3 linked regions of the Saccharomyces cerevisiae S288C genome follow. Changing the gene in region 3 together with the main gene of any one other region gives a genetic interaction. Each region holds a gene or a part of one and is shown on either strand. Other genes may lie near its edges.

Region 1 (6,304 bases), on a different chromosome or scaffold from region 3:
TGATTCTTTATGTACATCAGATATAAGCTCAGAAGAGGGTGAAATAGCAAACAGTAAGATGGAGGATAACTGCTTCTTCAAAAGTATGAGAGAAGCTGACCATAGAAGCAATATTACGCCCTTAAAGAAAAGCCGACCGGGATCAATACTACAGAAAACACGTACAGCAAGTAGCGCTGATAAAACAATCTGCTCAATGAGTACCATAACTACATGCATTCCATCTCGTCAAAATTCGGTGTCAACTCCTAAACTCTCCAGGACAGTAGGGCTGCCTGGATCGAGCAATACAACCAACAGTATAGCCGCATCACAAACTTCATTCATAAGCGAGAATGACTCTCCTCTTAAACATCATTGCATGAGTACCGCAACTATCCAAGAACCAAAACTCATGCCGATCACAAAAACGCCGTATGTGCATTCCAATAGTACTTCTGTAATATTACCATATAAAACAACCCAACTTACTCCTTCTCAACGTTACCGTTTAAGGAAAGAGCAAAATGACCAATCTTTGCGTAAAGCCATAAAAATGAAAGAAAAATTTTATGAAGATCAAGACGTTAACTTGGAACTTCAAGAGGGCGATGTCGACGGCTCGTTAATTTGGAACATTCCAATGGCATCTTTATCGACCAGTTCTTTTTTAACATTATCTAAGTTTAATAGAAAAGAAATGAGTTTAGATTCAGCGCGGGGGGATGAAGAGATATTAATACAGGAGAACAATTGCGAAGGCAAACAACACTCATCTTCGGCTCTCTGTGTGGACAAAACTTTCCATCAGGTTCATAGTACTAGAAAACATACATCAAATTCAAGTAACACTTTAAAAGAATCATGTCTGGACTATAAGGAGCTTCCGCCAACATGCATTCCTGGTATATCTCCTGTGTCTGATTCACAGTACATCCAGGATACAATGAAAAATCTCTCCCAAATATACCTGCATAGTTCCGAAAAAATCTCCAAAAGTATTCTTTCTGGTCGTTCAAGATCTGTACAGAGTTTACCACTGGAATTTAAAGAAGCCAGTAGTCAGGGAATGGAAGACCTAATGCTAGTTTCAGAGGACAAACTAAAGGCCGTAAGTCATTTCCGTCCGAGTTGGCTCCCGCCCAAGGATTTCAAAGAGAGGAAATTGCAAGATAAACAAATCTACAAAAATATCGACTTAGCATCAATGGAAGAGTTGCAAAAAAATAAAGAACGTGACGAAAAAGCCAAAAAGAATGAGCAGAATAAGGTCAAATTCCAGCATTTACTGGACCGAGGCATTACTCGTAACTCGTCATTAAGTGAATTAAAGAAAATTATTTGGGAAACACCTTTGATATCTAAAGTACGGCTTCAAATATATAGTCAACTTCTACAAAGTGACAATTGCTTGATAACAAAATGTTTTATTGAATCATTTGAGGAAGTAATGCAGCTACTCAACAAAATGGATTTTCCCAAAGATAAAGAATTTGAAATAAGACAGCTTATTGAACACGATGTACAGGAAAAGGTTTTTTATAAAAATGGAACAGATAAGCAAGTGGTTTCTGACTTGATGCTATTACTGCAACTGAAATCTATATCTCAACAAGGTTTGGTTACTGGTGATGAGATGCTATTCTACCATTTTTTAACTGATCAATCTTTTGGGACTTTGAAGGAAACATGGGAAATGGTCAACTTGATACAGATGACGTGCTTCAGTGAAATTTGCAAGGAAAAATACGATTCAAGAATATTAAATCCCAGAGGAATTGTTGCCCATCTTTTACGAAAAGATGAGTTCAAAAATGAATTCAATGGCGGATGTTTGAATAGCAATACATGGTGGAACATATTGCAAAGAATGGACCATAAACTTTTTATGTGGGTAATGGATGTAATTATCGTTCATAATGGCCAAAACTTTGCAAACTACCCCGTAAAAATGGAAATATTCAAAGACAAAGTATGGGAATACTATAGATCTAAGAAGGTTATTGTAAATTATAAGATTTTGGTTTCACTAACAGTTAACGTATTGTTAAACTACCACTTCGGATATGATAATCTGAAACATTTATCAGATTTGGATGATAAGCATTTTTGTATTCCACTGTATACGGAGGATAGTATCGAAGAGGAAAACCTCAATAATATTTTCACAAAGTGGTGGTTGCACTACTACCGAAAATTACGTTAGCGTGTATGTGGCACGTACTAAAAGTTTGGTGACCAGACTATCTCTTCTTAAGTTCATTTTCACTCTGAAACTTATAAATGCATACATACAGAAATTACTTTCGATTAATATAATAATATATTTTTAATAAACAATGAACTAATGCCCTTATTGTGTTTTGTTATTAACCTTTTCATCACCATTTTTTTTTGCTAGCTTCTACGGCATTCACTTACGTGCTGCAAAATTTCGCAGCATGGAAGAAATTGTTCGCGAAGAAAAAAGATTTCGCTCAGTGATTTGTAGTGACAATAGGTACCAGTGTTATCACTAAGTATATCTTTTAGTATATCTCTTCGCTTGAGGAGGGATCAAAAAAAAACAAACGTAAACGTGCACATAAACGTCAAGTACTTTTTGCAGGCATTAATATTCGTCTCCAACAAAGACAAATAAAGAAGCAATCTTTTCATTACCTTAAGCCAGTATCTATTGATATCAATCGATAAGGTTCGTTGTTATCGGTGCTAAAAATTATAAAGTGAAAATAAGAATCTTTTCATGTCGTGCTCAAACGGCATCTGGCCTACTGTATCTAATTTGTGCGGATCATTATCCTTCTTCACCTCTGTTATTTCATTGTTTCCACAAATAATTGAGACTTATCGAGATAAATCTGTCGATGGGCTATCGCCATATTTTTTGCTGGCTTGGTTATGTGGGGATATTACCTCGCTGATAGGGGCAAAGCTAACAGGGCAATTGTTATTTCAGATACTTTTAGCAATTTATTTTCTATTGAATGATTCTTTTGTATGTGGTCAATATTATTACTATGGCGTGCTGCATGAAAATAAATTGGCGACTGTCGGCCATGAGCCTAAACCTCTTCTTCCCGAACTGGTTGAAAATGGTGAGCTTTTGAGGGAGGAAGAGGACATGATACAAGGTGGTAGCAGTGCAGAAAGCCCTAGAAGCAGTAGAAGAAGGTCTGCCATTACAGCAGCCTTGGCTATAGCTCATACTATAAGTACAGCTAGCGCATATCCGCTAAATGTAGGCTCCACCCAATCACAAGTGGGGCCTCCCGGAGATGGTAAAAACAGCCAGCTGGGTACAATTTTATCTTGGATTGGCGCTTCCTTCTACGTAGGCGCACGTATCCCACAACTAATCAAGAATTACAATAGAAAGTCTACAGACGGCTTATCTCCCTTCCTATTTGCTACTACACTACTCTGCAATATCACGTATAATTTGAGCATCTTCACAAGCTGTAGATTTTTAGATAATCAGAACAAGAGGGAATTCATCGTGAATGAGTTGCCCTTTATATTTGGAAGTGCTGGAACAATTGCGTTTGATTTGATATACTTCTACCAATACTATATCCTTTATGCAACTGATATGCAACTACGTGAACTGGAAAGAGAACTATACAGTCCTGAAGAAGACAGTGCAGCGCAACTAGTGACAGAACGTACATCACTGTTGTCTGGTGAAACGCAAACATAGTTTTCCCTACGGAGTACTACCATTTATATTTAAACAATGCACTCTGCTCTTGGGATAGTCCTTGCGAGACCCTTTTTTCCCAATAGGAATACTACGTTCGTACTCTGTGTAAAAGTACCCAACTATAGTTAGCGCCAGTTTTACGTAAAACCGTCTATGTCTTGTTTGCATTCGCAACAGCTACAAACACATATAGTTTGTCACACTAATATTAATAATGAAAGTTATTATGTATTCACTGTGAACGCTTCAGTATACAGTACGGCAGTAAGTGTTTCATTCTGTTCTGGATTAATAATCTTTCACTTTGCCTAGCCATTTGGGGGCGGGTTTTGGCTGGGTTAGCTTCTCCTTAGTCATGGAGAAAAAAAATCGCCCGCAAGTATCTCGAAAAAGGAAAAAATGCCCACGCGTATAAGAGTGGACCCAACTGCTCGAGGTTTCAAGAGCTTGTAGATTAATTTCTGTAGTTCAGTTATACTTGCCTACAAGTGCTATACAGCAAATAGCGAACAGTACGAAAGTAAACATCATATTATCAATAATGGTTCACAACAAAGTTACTATCATTGGTTCAGGTCCAGCTGCACACACCGCCGCCATCTATTTGGCCAGGGCAGAAATCAAGCCAATCCTATATGAAGGTATGATGGCGAACGGTATTGCTGCCGGTGGCCAGCTAACCACCACTACAGAAATCGAAAACTTCCCAGGTTTCCCAGATGGTCTAACAGGTAGCGAACTGATGGACAGAATGAGAGAACAATCCACGAAGTTTGGCACTGAAATTATCACGGAAACAGTTTCCAAAGTTGATCTGTCTTCCAAACCATTCAAGCTATGGACCGAATTTAACGAAGACGCAGAACCTGTGACGACTGACGCTATAATCTTGGCCACAGGCGCTTCTGCTAAGAGAATGCATTTGCCGGGCGAGGAAACCTACTGGCAAAAAGGTATTTCTGCCTGTGCCGTGTGTGATGGTGCCGTCCCCATTTTCAGAAACAAGCCATTGGCCGTCATTGGTGGTGGTGACTCTGCATGTGAAGAAGCTCAGTTCTTGACCAAGTACGGCTCAAAAGTGTTTATGCTTGTCAGAAAAGACCATTTGCGTGCTTCTACCATTATGCAAAAGCGTGCTGAGAAGAACGAAAAAATTGAAATCCTTTACAACACTGTTGCGCTAGAAGCTAAGGGGGATGGTAAATTATTGAATGCCTTGAGGATTAAGAACACTAAAAAGAATGAAGAAACCGATTTGCCAGTCAGCGGTTTATTTTATGCAATTGGCCACACTCCAGCAACAAAGATTGTCGCTGGCCAAGTCGACACTGATGAAGCGGGCTACATTAAAACTGTCCCAGGCAGCTCATTAACCTCCGTTCCAGGATTTTTCGCTGCTGGTGATGTTCAGGATTCTAAATACAGACAAGCTATTACTTCTGCTGGCTCTGGTTGTATGGCCGCTTTGGATGCTGAGAAATACTTAACTTCCCTAGAATAGATGAATTTTCCATTATAAAATAGATACACTCAAATTTTTGTATACTTATCCAACAAATCGTTACTTTCTCCTTTTCTTTAATAAAAAGCAAACCATGAATTTTATTTCTTTTCCCCATTATTAGAGAAAGCCAATACATAATCTACATATATTGCGTGTCTGAATTAAACTTTTTAGACACATGACATAGGCCATCGGCTTACTTTGTAACGCGTGGTTGCCTATACACCGACTATTAAGTTATGACTAATATTATTGCTGCGCTTCCCCACCTGCATTTTTCTTGTCGTCTTTGCCAAAAGGAAAAAAAAACCTACGCAGATTGACTCTCTAAAAAATGATTCATGACCAGACAATTCAGTAAACATAAACTCTGTTGCATTCATTCTTCTGGAAAACTTTATAATAAAGCATCTGATATTACAGCTACTGACAACTAAGTGAATTTAAACTGCAATAATCACAAGAAAACTTAGTATTCCCTTATCATGTCCGAGGCGACTTTGCTATCTTACACCAAGAAATTATTGGCTTCTCCGCCGCAATTGAGTAGCACAGACCTACACGATGCGTTGCTGGTTATATTAAGTCTTTTGCAAAAATGTGATACAAATAGCGATGAGAGTCTTTCCATCTATACCAAAGTTTCGAGTTTTCTCACGGCCTTGAGAGTTACTAAACTTGATCACAAGGCTGAATACATTGCGGAAGCTGCAAAGGCTGTGCTCAGACATTCCGACCTTGTTGATCTACCTTTACCCAAGAAGGACGAATTACACCCGGAAGATGGACCAGTAATCTTAGATATTGTAGGTACTGGTGGTGACGGACAGAATACTTTTAATGTTTCCACGTCTGCTGCTATCGTTGCCTCCGGAATTCAGGGCCTAAAAATTTGTAAGCACGGTGGTAAAGCTTCTACATCCAATAGTGGAGCTGGTGACCTAATTGGAACTTTAGGCTGTGACATGTTCAAGGTTAATTCATCGACAGTGCCCAAACTTTGGCCTGATAATACGTTCATGTTTCTACTTGCTCCTTTTTTTCATCATGGAATGGGCCACGTTTCTAAGATACGCAAATTTCTTGGAATTCCGACTGTTTTCAACGTACTGGGACCA
Region 2 (6,767 bases), on a different chromosome or scaffold from region 3:
ATGTTGCTGAACTTACTGTCAAAGAATCGCTACAATTTAGTGCTCGTATGCGTCGGCCACAGTCTATTCCTGACGCTGAAAAGATGGAATATGTTGAAAAAATTATATCTATTCTTGAAATGCAGGAGTTCTCAGAAGCTCTTGTCGGCGAAATTGGTTACGGCTTGAATGTTGAACAGAGAAAGAAACTATCAATTGGCGTTGAGCTAGTTGGCAAGCCGGATCTGTTATTGTTTTTGGACGAACCGACCTCTGGCTTGGATTCCCAATCCGCGTGGGCCGTCGTCAAAATGTTAAAAAGATTAGCTCTAGCAGGTCAATCAATTTTATGTACTATTCATCAACCATCAGCTACTCTTTTTGAACAGTTTGACAGATTATTGCTTTTGGGAAAAGGCGGTCAAACAATTTATTTTGGTGAAATAGGTAAAAATTCAAGTTCTGTCATTAAGTATTTCGAAAAGAACGGAGCCAGGAAATGTCAACAAAATGAAAATCCGGCAGAGTATATTTTAGAAGCCATAGGAGCTGGGGCCACCGCTTCTGTTCAACAGAACTGGCCTGATATATGGCAAAAATCTCACGAGTATGCAAACATTAACGAAAAAATAAATGACATGATTAAGGACTTATCTTCTACAACTTTGCATAAAACAGCTACAAGGGCCTCTAAGTATGCAACATCGTATTCCTACCAATTCCATCATGTGCTGAAAAGATCCAGTTTAACATTTTGGAGAAACTTGAACTACATCATGGCCAAAATGATGTTATTGATGATCAGTGGCTTGTTCATTGGTTTTACCTTTTTCCATGTGGGTGTAAATGCTATTGGATTACAAAATAGCTTATTTGCCTGTTTCATGGCTATCGTTATATCAGCTCCTGCAACAAACCAAATACAGGAGCGTGCTACCGTTGCTAAGGAGCTATATGAAGTTCGTGAGTCCAAATCTAATATGTTTCATTGGTCTTTACTTTTGATTACCCATTATTTAAATGAATTGCCTTACCATTTATTGTTTTCAACAATTTTTTTCGTTTCATCATATTTCCCTCTGGGTGTCTTTACCGAAGCCTCTAGGTCAAGTGTTTTTTATCTGAACTATGCCATACTTTTTCAACTTTACTATATTGGTCTTGCTTTAATGATTCTGTACATGTCTCCAAATCTACAATCTGCCAATGTTATTGTAGGTTTTATACTTTCGTTTTTGCTCTCTTTCTGCGGTGCTGTCCAACCTGCCTCTTTAATGCCTGGTTTCTGGACATTCATGTGGAAACTATCCCCTTACACGTATTTTTTGCAAAATTTAGTTGGATTATTGATGCATGACAAACCCGTAAGATGTTCAAAGAAAGAGTTGTCTCTTTTCAACCCCCCGGTAGGCCAAACATGTGGTGAATTTACCAAACCGTTTTTTGAATTTGGGACTGGGTATATTGCAAATCCAGATGCAACAGCAGATTGCGCCTATTGTCAGTACAAAGTAGGTGATGAATACTTGGCGCGCATAAATGCTAGCTTTAGTTACTTATGGAGAAACTTCGGTTTCATTTAGGCTTATATCCTTTTCAACATTGCCGGTATGATTGTGGTTTATTACGTTGTTCAAGTTAAGCATTTTTCCCCTATGAAAATTGGCTTCGTAAAAAGAATAACAAGTAAATTTAAGAGAAAATGAAGAAAAAAATTGCAGGTATACTATGGGTGCAGGTGAGGCGGTTTTTTAACCGATTTAGCACACGATACTGTGAATTTTGGGTTATATGATGATGTGAATATTGCAGAAATGTAATGTTATATTATTCAAAGAAATAGGGTAACTTCTATTTATGCAAACATTGGTAATCAAGGCTATAAACACATAATCCCAAATAAGTATTTTGGTACACAGTTGATGTTTCTTTATGAATACGACTCATTAGTTCACTGTCAAATTGCCAACGTTCAGAGGGACCTACTTACAGAGCGTATGTTTTATATTTACGACGAACGCGATCTAATTATTATCCGCTGGTTAAACAGCGTAATAATGTTCATAGGGGCCTTGCATGACATTTGAATTTGAACATTACTAGAGTTCGTGAAATTTTGTCAATGAAAAAATAATGTGACAAACGTCTGCAAATAACCTGAAGAATTTTATCCGGGATAACGACAAAGCGTTAAATATAGAAACATAGTGAATGTACTGCTAGGAAAAAAATAGGCATAATTTAATCTTTATTCATATAAATGTTTTTACCAGAACTCTCTTGGTAGATAGTTTTGATATACGGTTTCCTGCTCAATTTTAGTGAGGCTGGGACGTAAAGTATTTTTTTCAAATAAACCATTTCTTGTTTCTACCTTTTTAGTACGGATTTTTTTTAGTAAGTTCTGTATTCTTTTTTAAGAGTAAAAAATATTCAGACCCCAAACTCACAAAAAGCCTACAGAGTCCGCCTGTTACGCTCAATTTAGTACTACCACTTGTGATAATATTTATTTTGGGACAGGTCCAAAAACTTTTAGGTTTAAACGTACAAACGTTGAGTTTAATCTAGATCATATATCATTATAAAGGTTTTATCTACAAGCAAGTGAAGAAACGTAACAAACGTAAAAAGCTTCAGCCTCACCTAAATATCGAATTTGTACTGAGTCTTTGAAGTGTATACCTCGCCGCGCTTCAGAAGAACACAACCTCTCCACTCATCACGGTTGATAGCATCAACGTATCTACCTTGCTGAACGGCAAATCCAGACCTTGGCACAAATTTGCCACATAAATTATCACCGGTGTACAAATGAACGGTTGGTTCTGTCGTCGAAACCTCAAATTTGATGTGAGATTCGGGATGATAGGCCTTAAAAACAGGAACCAATTTGTTGACACTCACAGAATCTGTAGTCTTCAAATCCTTGTTAGCGTCAATAATGAAAGTGCAATCAAAGACCGGAGTATCTTCATGCAAAACGGTGGGCTTAGTTGAATCAAAAGTAGCAATGTTCCTTTCAATGATCTTACCAGTTGGAAGCAATGCCCCCTCTGTAACTTCAAGCGATTTGTTCGAGCAGACCTTAACTTCTGTACCACGAATGGACTTCTCACTCTTGACTTTGTTCAAGTTAAAATACGAGTGGTTGGTCATATTAATTGGAGTAGCATCACCACGAACTAACTGTGCTTGGTATTCCATGTCTAAAGTCATTTCTGCAACATTCAAAGTGTACTTCACTGTGACTTCCAAGTCACCTGGAAACTCGTTAGGGTTGGGCTGTGTGTGATCATCCAACAATTTAAATTCAACAACGTAAACGCCCTTGGAAGGATTCTCAACAGGGGACGCCTTGTACTGCTTAAGATTTAAGGAACTGATACTGCTGTGATTTGTGTTACCACAATTGTTAACAGTTAACTTGTGAGGACCATCATCCAGGCTGAAAACACCCTTGGCGATACGGTTGGCATAACGACCAACTGTAGCGCCCATCATGTTACCATCTGTTAAATAGTCTTGTACGTTTGAATAACCTTGAACGACTGATTGGCCGTTTACCTTCAGGTCTACCAAAGTTGCACCAAGTGGCGCAATGGTAGCTTGGAACTTTTTCTCATCACCAATTGTAATGACACCATACTTATTATCACCGTTACTATTTGACATTTCGCTGTTTGTTATCTGTTTTGATTTTTTTTTTCACTGCTTATCATACAAACTGATCAATTGAGCTATCAAACTTCAACTTATCTCTGTATTTATATGCTGAAAGTATAGAGTGTACATAAAAATGTATCACATGTCTATTACATATTACGACACCCCCACAATATTTTAACTGATCTTAATAACACGGGGTAGGAAGTTTATTTCATCATACCACTCAATGAGCTAAGCTGCCAAAGGCTCCTGTTCACTTCCTTGTGGTTCGTAGGCTATTCAGTGGCAACGTAATAAACAAGAAAAGAAAAAATTTCAACACCTTTATTCTAAATGTTGTCAGAAGTAATTATAGTGGGGGTATTGCAGATGTAAATGAAATACGACGTACTGTGGGGGGCTTTTCTTTTTCAAGAATCCTAAACTATTCCAATGGGATTGCGTGATTATGTTTCGTTAGAGTTTTTTTCTATATCTCCGTTCTTATTTCTTAAGTCCGCCCCTTGCTGTAACCAGCCCGGCTATTATTTGACGAATTTTTCACATCTTCATTCCTTGCCGAGAAAGAAGCTTTTGCCTCCCTGGGGTTATTATAAAATATATCTGACGTCACTGGTTTGCAGCCAAAAAGTTTAATTATTTTAACTTCAAGGGTTCGTTTCGGAGTAAATAGTCAATGCACAAAATAGGAAGGTGGAGGTGGGGTATGCATTTTTGTGCATAGAGTGGCGGGGTATTAAGAATAATGCACATATAGGCACATAGGCACAAATGCGTGGGATGACTTGACTGTGCAAAGACCGTTAGCAACCTAGAATGTGGAATAGTATCCCAAATGATGACGTAAACGTTCGAGGATAATATTAGATAATATAATATTAGTATCCTCGTCTAAAAACAGGCAAAATAGCACGGAATCTATTCAAAAGAAGGCGGCAAGCAGTATCAATTGAGATAAGTGTATACGAACGGTGAAACCTCCTTGGCACAGAATTTTATCGTTCAAGTGGTAGGATAGCATTGCTGCCATAACACCCTCCTTAATCACAGGATAATATGGTGAACGAGATATATAAAGCGATAAGTTTAGGTGTGATATTTTTCTTTCGTTGTGCAAGTGTTGTGTAAATTCTTTCTCATTTGATAAATCAAAAAAAAAAAAAAAAAAAAGAAAAGAAAAGAAAAATTAATAAAATGCAATCATCCACTGAAAGTGATAGAGATATTCAGGATGGTCCTGATGCTGATATTCACGTCGCACCACCCGTGGAAAAAGAGTGGTCAGATGGATTTGATGACAACGAAGTCATAAACGGGGATAACGTTGAGCCACCAAAAAGAGGGCTCATAGGTTATCTTGTCATTTACTTATTGTGTTATCCAATATCCTTCGGGGGTTTCCTGCCTGGTTGGGATAGTGGTATCACAGCAGGTTTCATTAACATGGACAACTTTAAAATGAACTTCGGTTCTTACAAGCATAGCACTGGTGAATATTATTTGAGCAACGTGCGTATGGGTCTTCTTGTGGCTATGTTCAGTATTGGATGTGCCATAGGTGGTCTTATTTTTGCCCGTCTTGCTGATACTTTAGGTAGAAGGCTGGCAATTGTAATCGTGGTGTTGGTATATATGGTTGGTGCAATTATTCAGATCAGTTCGAATCACAAATGGTACCAATACTTCGTTGGTAAGATTATCTATGGTCTTGGTGCTGGTGGCTGTTCGGTGTTGTGTCCAATGCTTTTGTCTGAAATAGCTCCTACAGATTTGAGAGGTGGACTTGTCTCATTGTACCAACTTAACATGACCTTCGGTATTTTCTTGGGTTATTGTAGCGTTTATGGTACGAGAAAATACGATAACACTGCACAATGGAGAGTCCCACTTGGGCTTTGCTTTTTATGGACTTTGATTATCATCATTGGTATGTTATTGGTTCCAGAGTCCCCAAGATATCTTATTGAATGTGAGAGACACGAAGAGGCCCGTGCTTCCATTGCCAAAATCAACAAGGTTTCACCAGAGGATCCATGGGTACTCAAACAGGCTGATGAAATCAACGCCGGTGTCCTTGCCCAAAGAGAACTAGGAGAAGCTTCATGGAAAGAACTTTTCTCCGTCAAAACTAAAGTCCTTCAACGTTTGATCACAGGTATTCTTGTGCAAACCTTTTTGCAACTTACTGGTGAAAACTACTTTTTCTTCTACGGAACTACCATTTTCAAATCAGTCGGTCTTACTGATGGGTTTGAGACGTCGATCGTTCTAGGTACAGTGAACTTCTTTTCCACTATTATTGCTGTTATGGTCGTAGACAAAATTGGCCGTCGTAAATGTCTTTTATTTGGTGCAGCTGGGATGATGGCTTGTATGGTCATATTTGCAAGTATCGGGGTGAAATGTCTTTACCCTCATGGCCAGGATGGTCCATCCTCAAAAGGTGCAGGTAATGCCATGATTGTGTTCACTTGCTTCTATATATTTTGCTTTGCAACGACATGGGCTCCTGTTGCTTATATTGTGGTTGCCGAGTCGTTCCCTTCGAAGGTCAAATCTAGGGCCATGTCGATTTCGACTGCATGCAACTGGTTGTGGCAATTTTTGATCGGGTTTTTCACACCATTCATTACTGGGTCTATCCACTTCTATTATGGTTATGTGTTCGTAGGTTGTTTGGTTGCAATGTTTCTGTACGTTTTCTTCTTTTTACCAGAAACGATTGGTCTATCTTTGGAGGAAATCCAATTACTATATGAAGAAGGTATAAAACCATGGAAATCTGCATCTTGGGTCCCACCTTCTAGGAGAGGTATTCCTTCCGAAGAAAGTAAGACCGAGAAGAAGGATTGGAAGAAATTTTTGAAGTTCTCAAAGGGTTCTGATTGATCATAGAGTGCATATGCTTGTCTTGATAGGCAACATTGTATATTATATTTTACATAATAATGTGTAATTCTAATTTGTCACGAATTTATGAAGATTCTTGGAGCTATGAAGATCAACATATGTAGAAACTGGTATGTGTCATAGGTAAAAAGTATTCATTAAGACAAAATTGTGTCTAATTCTTAGTCATTTATTCAATTTTTTTTTTTTTTTTTTACGTAAAGCGGGGT
Region 3 (9,398 bases):
TGCCGTGTTTCTCTTTCATTGTTGAAACTTAGCTTACTCATATCGATTTCATACGACTTTATGAGGCTTGACCAACGCGGCAGATTGGTGTCATAGCTCAATTCGTTATTCATTACCTTGGAAACAAAAAACATCTCAGCCTCTCTTCTTGTTTTTACATCACATATTGATCCATTCAATACCATCACACGATCAAACCTAGCCAGTACTTCATAAAAAGTAGCCTGTTCTTCGACGTTAATATAATTTCCGTTGTAGTTGAATTCGTTGCCACTCAGATGGATATTTTTCAAAGAGGGAAATGTCTTATTCAAATCATCTATCAAACTTCTTTCCTTAAATTTGTTATCTGTTATATCCAAGGATTCAACAGAATAAATAGCAATACTTGGTGCTCTAGAAATTTGATTATTGGAGACATTTAAACCTTTCAATGTCAAATTTTTTGGAAACAATGGAAACGATATAAGATTATTTCCGCTAATATTCAGTTCCTCCAAAGTACACGGTATTTCATTCTCAAAATTTTGGATTCCCGCACTGGTCAAGTTGTTATAGCTTAAATCCAACATTTTCAGTGTCCTGAAGCTTTTGAGCAGCTTACCAATATGTTTATAACTTAAACCACAGGAAGACAGACGTAAAGTTTTGATGTGTGATAGGTCATATTCTTTCAAGTTGTCCCAACCGCTTAAAAGTTTATTTTGAGATATATTAAGGCTCTCCAAGTTCTTCAAAGGTTCTATGAACTCACATAAAGAGTTGATATTCGTGAATAGATTAAGCGATAAATCAAGGTCCTTGACGTTCACACAATTTTGTATTACACGGTTTAACTCATCTTGATTTTGAAACAATATAGCGACATCGGAATCTCGCAAAGCTATTTTTCTTAACTTCTTATAATTCTTATTTCTCGCATTTAGTTCATCGAATCCCAAACCCTCAACCCTTTTGTTACCTATAGATAGGTCATTAATGTTATTACTCGAGCCTCCATACTTTTCTGACAATGCTTCGTAAAACGTAATTCTGCGTACACCTGGAGATTTAATCTTAGACTCCTTCAAAAATGATCCTGAATTAGGAATTTGAACGTCAAAATAGTGTATGTCATCTATTGTTCCAGAATGTTTTCCCCGGCTGTGATCGTCCCATTCCACCCCATAAGCTTTTACCGAAGGCCACGGCTTAATAACACCTATGAATTTGATGGTGCAAAAATATCCACCAATCTTGAGTCTGTCCCCAATTTCATAAGTCATGCTATCTCTGAAATTCGTTTTGCATTTTATATTTTGTATATCTTATATATGAAACATAATAAAAGTTGGAACTTTTTAATGATTTCTTTGTCCAAAGAGCAAAAAGGCAGTAAAACTAAAAAAAATAAGATGTATAGTAATGAGTTTAAAAGCACACCTATAATTTACAGTAATGTTATTTGATGATAAAGAAAAAATAAGAAACACCCCTTACATAAAAATAGCCTTACATATGACTTATTTATTCCATCATTGTATCTTGATCTTTGCTAGCATCTATGGCCTTGTCAAGAGAGCTAAATAATCCATCCAAATCAAATTCTTTGGACCACTCGGATACAATGGTGGATTCATTTGCTGCAATTGGAGCTTGTTTAGTGCCAGTGTTTATAGTACTTAGATTTTGTTTATCTTGTTGAGATGCAGCTGCCGATGTATTTGGTAAAACCCAACCAAGAATTTTACCATCCCTCCAGTCATTAAGTACCGAAAGACCAGCACTGGCAAGATTTGGAATACCGCCTTTCCCTAATCTACCTCTTTTACGAGCGACGTGAATTAAGAAATGTTTTGTAAACGTATCTGCATCATTAGCAGGAATAGGAGGAATTTCATACAGCTTTTTAAAGCTCTCTGTCATTTCATCTGATTTAGCTAGTCTCTTTACCAACATTAAGACAGCTGGATACGGATCAACAATGTGTTTTGCCGGTAGAGCATTTAGAAGAGCTAATTCAGCTTCATGTTCAACTTTCGATCTTTTCTTATTTTCGCTTGGGAAACATATACCAGGAGAATCTAGAATCTTCAACTTGTTGTCGATTTTGATCTCTCTCAGAGAGGTAGTAACACCTGCTTCATTACCGACTGGGCAAGCCTTTGATTGACCTCCACGGCGCGCCAAAAGAGCGTTGATAACAGATGATTTACCAACATTTGGATAACCGATAACACCCACTACAATAGATCTCTTCAAATTGCTGTTATTAGAGTAAGTTTTCAGCGACTCTAGCAGTGCACTTGCAGTAGTGGTTTGGCTTAGCTTTCTGTTGAAAGAAGTTCCGTTGACTGCACCAGAAGAAGCTCTTAATGGGATTGTAGGAAAACTAGACTTTAAGTAATTTAACCATTGTTCCAATACATGTGGGGGAATTAAATCAACTTTGTTCAGTATTAAAATCAGCCTTTTACCCTGACTTTGTAAGACGGCTTCTTCCACCTTTCTTGATCTTGTACTCTCTGGATCTCTGGCATCCAAAACATATAGGATGACATCAGAAGCATCAATAACGGATTTGAAAATCTTGTCATAAGCTTTCCTAGATTTTTCAAGTTCTGACTCGCCTTCTACATCTTCACCGTAGAAATCAATGTTATAATCAATGACGTCCAATTCATCATCACGAACATCTGCATCATTAGAGGGTGTGCCCTCATATTCAGCAGCTGCTTGCTGAGCAGACTCAACCAAAGCTGCTAATCCATTTTCATCGTCTTCTATCATGTCTTCATCCATTGCATCAACGCCTTGTTCCTTGGCAGCTTTCCTAGCCTCCAATCGTTGTTGTTTGGCAAGCTCTCTTTCCTCTAAGTCCTTCATTTTTTTGGCTTCTATTTCTTCTAAGATCTTAGCCTTATAAGGAAAGTTAGAAGGAATACCAGGGTCTTTCTTAGACCTTGATCTCCAAGTAACGTCCTTCTTAGCCATCTTCTTTTCCTTTTTTCTATGGGCAGAAGCCTTCTTCTTAATACCTTCCTTCAACTTGGTAGATGTTCTTCTAGATTGGCGCTTTCTGACTCTCATTTTATGATATTATAGTCGTGACTGTATACCTATATGCTTGTTCTTGTGTGTACCAAAGTATTACTAGTACAATTCCCTCTTGATATAATTAGCTCATCTCATCGCCTCGCTCGAAAATTTTCAGCAGCTGTGAGAAAAAAATTTCAAAAAAAAAACAGAAGCGACGTTTAGAGTGACGTGAATCACTGTTAATGCAATACTATGGCACCTCACTAGATATATACATATATTTATGTGAGAAGTATATGCGCTTCTATTTATGGCACATACACCACCACATTCAATCATATAGCCTACTGTCCTTAAATTTGGAAAAATCAGCCATAGAAAACGCAGGTCGTAAGTTTGACGGAGCGAGATTAGCGGACTGACTTGCTGTCCTTTGTGGTTCGTGCTCCCTTTGCATTGTGGCTGAACTCTTACCAAGATCAAACATACTGCTACTCTTCATCCTGTACACATCTTTGAAGCCATCTACGTCTGTTCCAAGTTCACCTTCCTCCAATCTGGAAAATGGATCTGATCTCCTTAGAAATTTCAACCTTCTCCTTATGCCTGTCTTAAAGTCCTTGGTAATGTTGTACAGACCGGAAAAACGTCTTCTGATTATGTGTGACCTATGAAAGATCAAGTAAAATATGCAACAAATAATTGCGAACCACATCAAAAATCCTTTATTAGAAAGGCTGGAACTTTGCTTGCGTAGTTGATCAGACTCCAGTAACTTGCCAGGTATGAATTTCTTACCAGTGAGCTTAGTTCTTCTTTCACTGGGCGCAATACCCACCATGAAGTCATCATTACCTGCCAATATGCTACCTGAGGCATAAAGTAAAATTCTGCCTAGTGTCCACGATAACTCTCGTTCTTCGACTTTTTCCACACTTTGAAATAAGGGCCTGTCATTGACATTTTCTGCGTCGACATCTATTCGAGGCATATCAAACCCTTCATGAAGTATATTAAGGACCCAATTGCCCTTAAAGCATGCATCTTTCAAAAAATTCTCCGGAATAGAATTATACACGCCTTTATCACTGTTCGCTAATATTTGCGTCCAATTGGAATTGCAAAACTCCCTTAGGCTTTTGCTAAATTTGTCAAAGTTGTATTCGCCCCCAAGTTTGAATACGTCGTTGGCAGTGTACCAGTACTCAGAAGTACCTATAAATTTGTCATTGGCAAAGTCTATTCGAGGAGCATGAACACCATTAAACAAGCACGGCTCGTCATCACAAGGCATGTTCTTTAAAAGTAACGGATAAATAGATTTTGTACATTGTTCGTAATTCCCAGAACCCGCGATGTGAAATATGGTATCTTTAAATTCAAAATCCGTGCTGCTTCCTCGCGGCATACATGGATCATTCAAGTTCCTTGTAGAGAAGTCATCATTTTCGTAATCATTTGTGTTTTCTGGAAGGGTATTGATCAACTGAGCCAAGTACCTTCTTCTAGCCTGATTGGCACCAAACCCTAACCACGTACTAACAAAAACGTCCCATTTCTGCAAATCTCCGTTAACACTCCTCAAGAAGATGGTGGCGATGTCATCTCTATGTCTAGCTATTTCTCCTGAATCATGCGGTGCAAACGCAATCTGAGTAGAGGCACCGCCCATGTCCATAAACCCAAATGTAAAATGGTCAGAGACCTCTGGATTATAGTCATTAAAGTGTCCATATAGATAGTTTAAGCCAAGCCAGCCATATAAACCTTCGGTTTCACCATCAATGACTTGAATTTGTGCTGAGCAATCCTCAACCAAAAATTCTGCAGGGTGTTTGAGCCCCTGACACAAACCATCCAAAATGGAAGATTGTATGTCTTGAGGTAAAAGGCGCATGCCCGCGGTTGCTTGAATAAAAACGGGACAACTCGACCAATGTGATTCAGGGATAATATTCTTAGCAAAATCTAGTAACGGCTTGATGTGAGATTTGTACGCATCTTGAGGTTTTTTTTCAAAACTCGACAAGCCTGGATTCAGCTTAAAAGTCCAGTCTTTTTCTTGATGAATATGAGGTACTGATTGTAATATGGACTGTGAGTCCTGGTTTGTTGCATGAAGAAGCGATTCCGTGTCCTGCCACTTAAACACATGGATTCTCGAACCCGAAGACCCTGCATCTATGACGATACCAAACCGATCATTAGTGTTTTCTATGAGCATAAGAGGGCAGACGGGGAAATAAAAAAAGCCACGTTAGATATAGTATTTTACTTTATACAGCTAAAACGCAAATACGATATATACGAACGAAATAACATGACGATAAATCTCTGTTTATCATCGTTTCTTTAAAGAAAATAATGAGGCGAAAAAGTAAAAAAAGCTATGATTGTGTGAAGTTGTTGAAAATCCGTAATTCATTGAACCCGTACGCGCGCAAAAGTACGTCACAGTAAAATACAACTGTAGCTGCGAGAAGAAGCCGTTGGTTGATTTAGGTAGCAATCTTCTCCAGAGAAGCTGAGATGTCAAGAATGTCCTTGCTGGAGACAAACTGAACCTTGTCTTTCCCAGAAGTATTCAACGCCAAATGAACACCAACTTTTCCTACCTCATCGCCATAAACTGGATAGCCTAGCAACCTCTGGAATCTAGAACGGTACACGCGAGTGCCCAAAGCAGCAGTCAGATTGCCGCCAAATCCGCTTTGTTTAGAATTTGTCCGTTCACCAAGGAGAGGGCCTGGGCGCAAAATTATAATGTGCTTAAAATCAAGAGCGATAACATCGCGTTCAATCTCGCCCTTCATCTTCATGTAGCCGAACCTGGAGTCCGGATGAGCACCAGCGGAAGAAACGAGAACGATCGTTTCACATCCTTTTTCCTTGGCAGCCTGGGCCAATTGTAAGTTTAAATCATGATCGATCTTGTATTGCTTGTCCAAACCGCCTGCAGCTGCCCTTGTCGTTGCCAGTGCGGTGAATAGCACCTGCGGATTCATTTCATTGGTGATCAATTGTGACCACTTTGAATTATCCCTTTCTACTATGGCCACAACTTTATCAGTGGCCGGAAAGGGCAATTCCCTTCTCAAGATCGCGTATACCTTAGAGAACTGGGGTGCCTCCTGTGCGTGCCTCAGAAACCCGCCTCCGCATAAACCTGTAGCGCCTAATACCAACCCATTCATCGTTGCTTGTGCTCTTCTATATAATCCATCCTATCTTTCTCATCAGTAGGAGGTCGATCTTATGCAAAGTTCGCCACCAACAGCTGCAGTTACATCATATCGCGGAAACTCCGCACTGGCATCGTGCCGCGCGACAAGCGCAAGGATGAGAATCATGAAAACCTTGCTACAACAAGATGCCAATAAAGTCGTTCCCTGATATAGCTAGTACTTTGCGGGAGTAATTTGTTATTCTGCTTTCTTTTGCACTTTGATCATGCCAAGTCTCGTGGTGCACTATCCATTTCGTGCTGCTTGGTTATTGTAGCAATTTTTTGTCGCGTCCGTGTCCTTTTTCGCCGCGATTTACGTATTTAAATATACACGTCGCAATCTTAGTATATTTCTGTATAAAATGTTTGTTTCTTGTAATCATTCAACACTAAACACGTAAAGAACATCAGACCAGAAAATTTTAAAACATGTCCAACAAGCTGTTCAGGTTAGATGCAGGTATGTGCCATTTTTCGTCAAATATTTTGAATACTTTGAGTATTTTTTTTTTTTTTTTTTGGTACACTAACTAACGCGTACGACTCTATGTAGGCTACCAACAATACGACTGGGGTAAAATCGGCTCTTCTTCAGCTGTCGCTCAATTTGCTGCCCATTCTGACCCCTCTGTTCAAATTGAACAAGATAAACCATATGCAGAGTTATGGATGGGTACCCACAGCAAGATGCCTTCCTACAACCATGAGTCTAAGGAATCCCTGAGAGATATCATCTCCAAGAACCCCTCTGCCATGTTAGGTAAGGACATTATTGATAAGTTCCACGCCACAAATGAATTGCCCTTCCTTTTCAAAGTTTTGTCCATTGAAAAAGTCTTGTCTATTCAAGCACATCCCGACAAAGCCTTGGGTAAAATATTGCACGCTCAAGATCCTAAGAACTATCCTGATGATAATCACAAACCTGAAATGGCCATCGCTGTGACTGACTTTGAAGGTTTCTGCGGGTTCAAACCTTTGCAAGAGATTGCAGATGAATTGAAACGTATTCCTGAATTACGCAACATTGTTGGTGAAGAAACTTCCAGGAATTTTATTGAGAACATTCAACCTTCTGCTCAGAAAGGTTCCCCAGAAGATGAGCAAAACAAAAAGCTATTGCAAGCTGTTTTCAGCAGGGTCATGAACGCTTCGGATGACAAAATCAAGATTCAAGCTCGCTCCTTGGTCGAAAGATCAAAGAATTCTCCATCAGACTTTAACAAACCTGATTTACCAGAATTAATTCAAAGACTGAATAAACAGTTCCCTGATGACGTGGGTTTGTTTTGTGGATGTTTATTGTTGAATCACTGCAGATTGAATGCTGGTGAAGCCATCTTTTTAAGAGCTAAGGATCCTCACGCCTATATAAGCGGTGATATTATGGAATGTATGGCTGCTTCTGACAACGTAGTTAGAGCAGGCTTCACTCCAAAATTCAAGGATGTTAAAAACTTGGTCTCCATGTTAACCTATACATATGATCCTGTGGAAAAGCAAAAAATGCAGCCTTTAAAGTTCGACAGGTCCTCTGGTAACGGTAAGTCAGTTTTATATAACCCTCCAATCGAAGAATTTGCTGTATTGGAGACTACTTTTGATGAGAAACTTGGTCAAAGGCATTTTGAAGGTGTTGATGGTCCAAGTATCTTAATCACTACAAAAGGTAATGGTTACATTAAAGCAGATGGCCAAAAATTGAAAGCTGAACCCGGTTTTGTCTTTTTCATCGCTCCACATTTGCCTGTTGATTTGGAAGCTGAAGATGAGGCGTTTACTACCTATAGAGCCTTTGTGGAACCAAATTAGCTTTCTTTCTATTTCTTAATTTTCTTATATCTATAATAGAGAAAATATTATACTTATTTATTTGAAGTCTACTTTATTTCACAGTTTTCTATTTGCTTCTCACGTTCTATAATATAGTGGAATGGAAATATCAAACATAATTTGCTGTTCTCTAAAACACTTGATATTGATGCATAAAAACATATATAGATACATATATAAATATTACGTGGTAATCAATTGGTAGTTGCCATTGGTTTATTTTGATGCAATACCGTTTCTTTTTTTCCACCTTAATAACCTTCTTTTCAAGTCACCCTCAGATTGCTGGTAGATGTTCAGCTTCTTATCGAAAAACATTTTTTTATAATCATCACCGTGTTTCTTATATAATTTTTCCAACCATTCTTCTTCCCTTTCACTTTGGCTACGTTCCTTTCTGATAACTGGTCTAGACGCAAGTTCTTCTAATTTCTTAACCACTTCGGTCTCCTCGGTAGTATCCCTAGCTTTTATTTCGTTAACATCCTCATCAGCATCAAAGTTCTTTTTCTTACCGTAAACAACTCTTACAACATCACCATTCTTATCACGCTGTATCCTTGCCCCACCTTCTGGTATCTCATTTTCATCGAGCTCCACGGTAGCCGCATTATAATCATTTTGCTCGTCCTCACCTTCATCTTCATCTTCATCTTCATCCAACACAGGCTTCGTTAATGGAATTCTTTTAACTACTTTACTTAAATCGGCCTCTTTGCCTCCTGCTGGTGTTTGTAATTTAGCCCTTAGCCCTAATTTCTTATAGTTTTGTGCCATTGTCAGTGAATAGTCCCAATTTGCTGCAATAATCGGATTAGACTGGATGTTAATCTTTCTTTGTTTGTCTTTGTTTCTCCTGGTTGCTTTCCCAACAGAAGATCTGTTCATCTTTCTTTTTCTAACGGATGTCATTGTATGCAACTTTTTTTACTTAGTGTATTTGCAGTTTGATATTAAACTCAATATCTTGAACTCTGCTTTTTTGAGAATTGACGACTGTTATAAATTTATCTCATCGCCTATTTTTCTTTTTATTCCATTCTGAAAAAAAGTGTCGATAAAAAAAAATTTACATAAAAGTGTTCTGTTCGGGTAACGTTTAAACCAATAAAATAACAAATAGAATTTTACCCAGCACGCTATTGAATATAAAGTAGAGCTAATCAAGCCGCTTATCTCAAATATATGGCTTGGTTTCTTTTATAGATTTGAGTAAATAGTACCCTTTGTAGCGGTAACTGTTGCTTTTTCAATCATTGGAAGCAATACAACATATAGTATAATGCTTGTTTTATTGTCCCTTAGTATTGAACGCATACAA

The links.
Region 1: mutations in YND1 (region 3) and YPQ2 together harm fitness more than expected from each alone (negative genetic interaction), as found in Saccharomyces cerevisiae (2 studies listed by BioGRID).
Region 2: mutations in YND1 (region 3) and YNR071C together harm fitness more than expected from each alone (negative genetic interaction), as found in Saccharomyces cerevisiae (2 studies listed by BioGRID).

What each region holds. Positions count from the first base shown.
Region 1 is NC_001136.10:1,179,076-1,185,379, forward strand, and holds YPQ2 (Ypq2p), read left to right. Parts: upstream 1-2,725; coding exon 2,726-3,679; downstream 3,680-6,304. Other genes in the region: SBE2 (Sbe2p), read left to right, coding at 1-2,185; thioredoxin-disulfide reductase TRR1, read left to right, coding at 4,224-5,183; TRP4 (anthranilate phosphoribosyltransferase), read left to right, coding at 5,672-6,304. UniProt on the Saccharomyces cerevisiae protein: Amino acid transporter that moves arginine across the vacuolar membrane. Active during nitrogen starvation when it exports stored vacuolar arginine to the cytosol, for use as a nitrogen source.
Region 2 is NC_001146.8:767,815-774,581, forward strand, and holds YNR071C (aldose 1-epimerase superfamily protein), read right to left. Parts: upstream 3,655-6,767; coding exon 2,626-3,654; downstream 1-2,625. Other genes in the region: ATP-binding cassette multidrug transporter PDR18, read left to right, coding at 1-1,562; hexose transporter HXT17, read left to right, coding at 4,843-6,537.
Region 3 is NC_001137.3:156,394-165,791, reverse strand, and holds YND1 (apyrase), read right to left. Parts: upstream 5,243-9,398; coding exon 3,350-5,242; downstream 1-3,349. Other genes in the region: PAC2 (Pac2p), read right to left, coding at 1-1,265; RNA-binding GTPase NUG1, read right to left, coding at 1,507-3,069; FMP52 (Fmp52p), read right to left, coding at 5,517-6,212; mannose-6-phosphate isomerase PMI40, read left to right, coding at 6,674-6,704, 6,798-8,056; NOP16 (Nop16p), read right to left, coding at 8,294-8,989. UniProt on the Saccharomyces cerevisiae protein: Catalyzes the hydrolysis of phosphoanhydride bonds of nucleoside tri- and di-phosphates. Has equal high activity toward ADP/ATP, GDP/GTP, and UDP/UTP and approximately 50% less toward CDP/CTP and thiamine pyrophosphate. Has no activity toward GMP.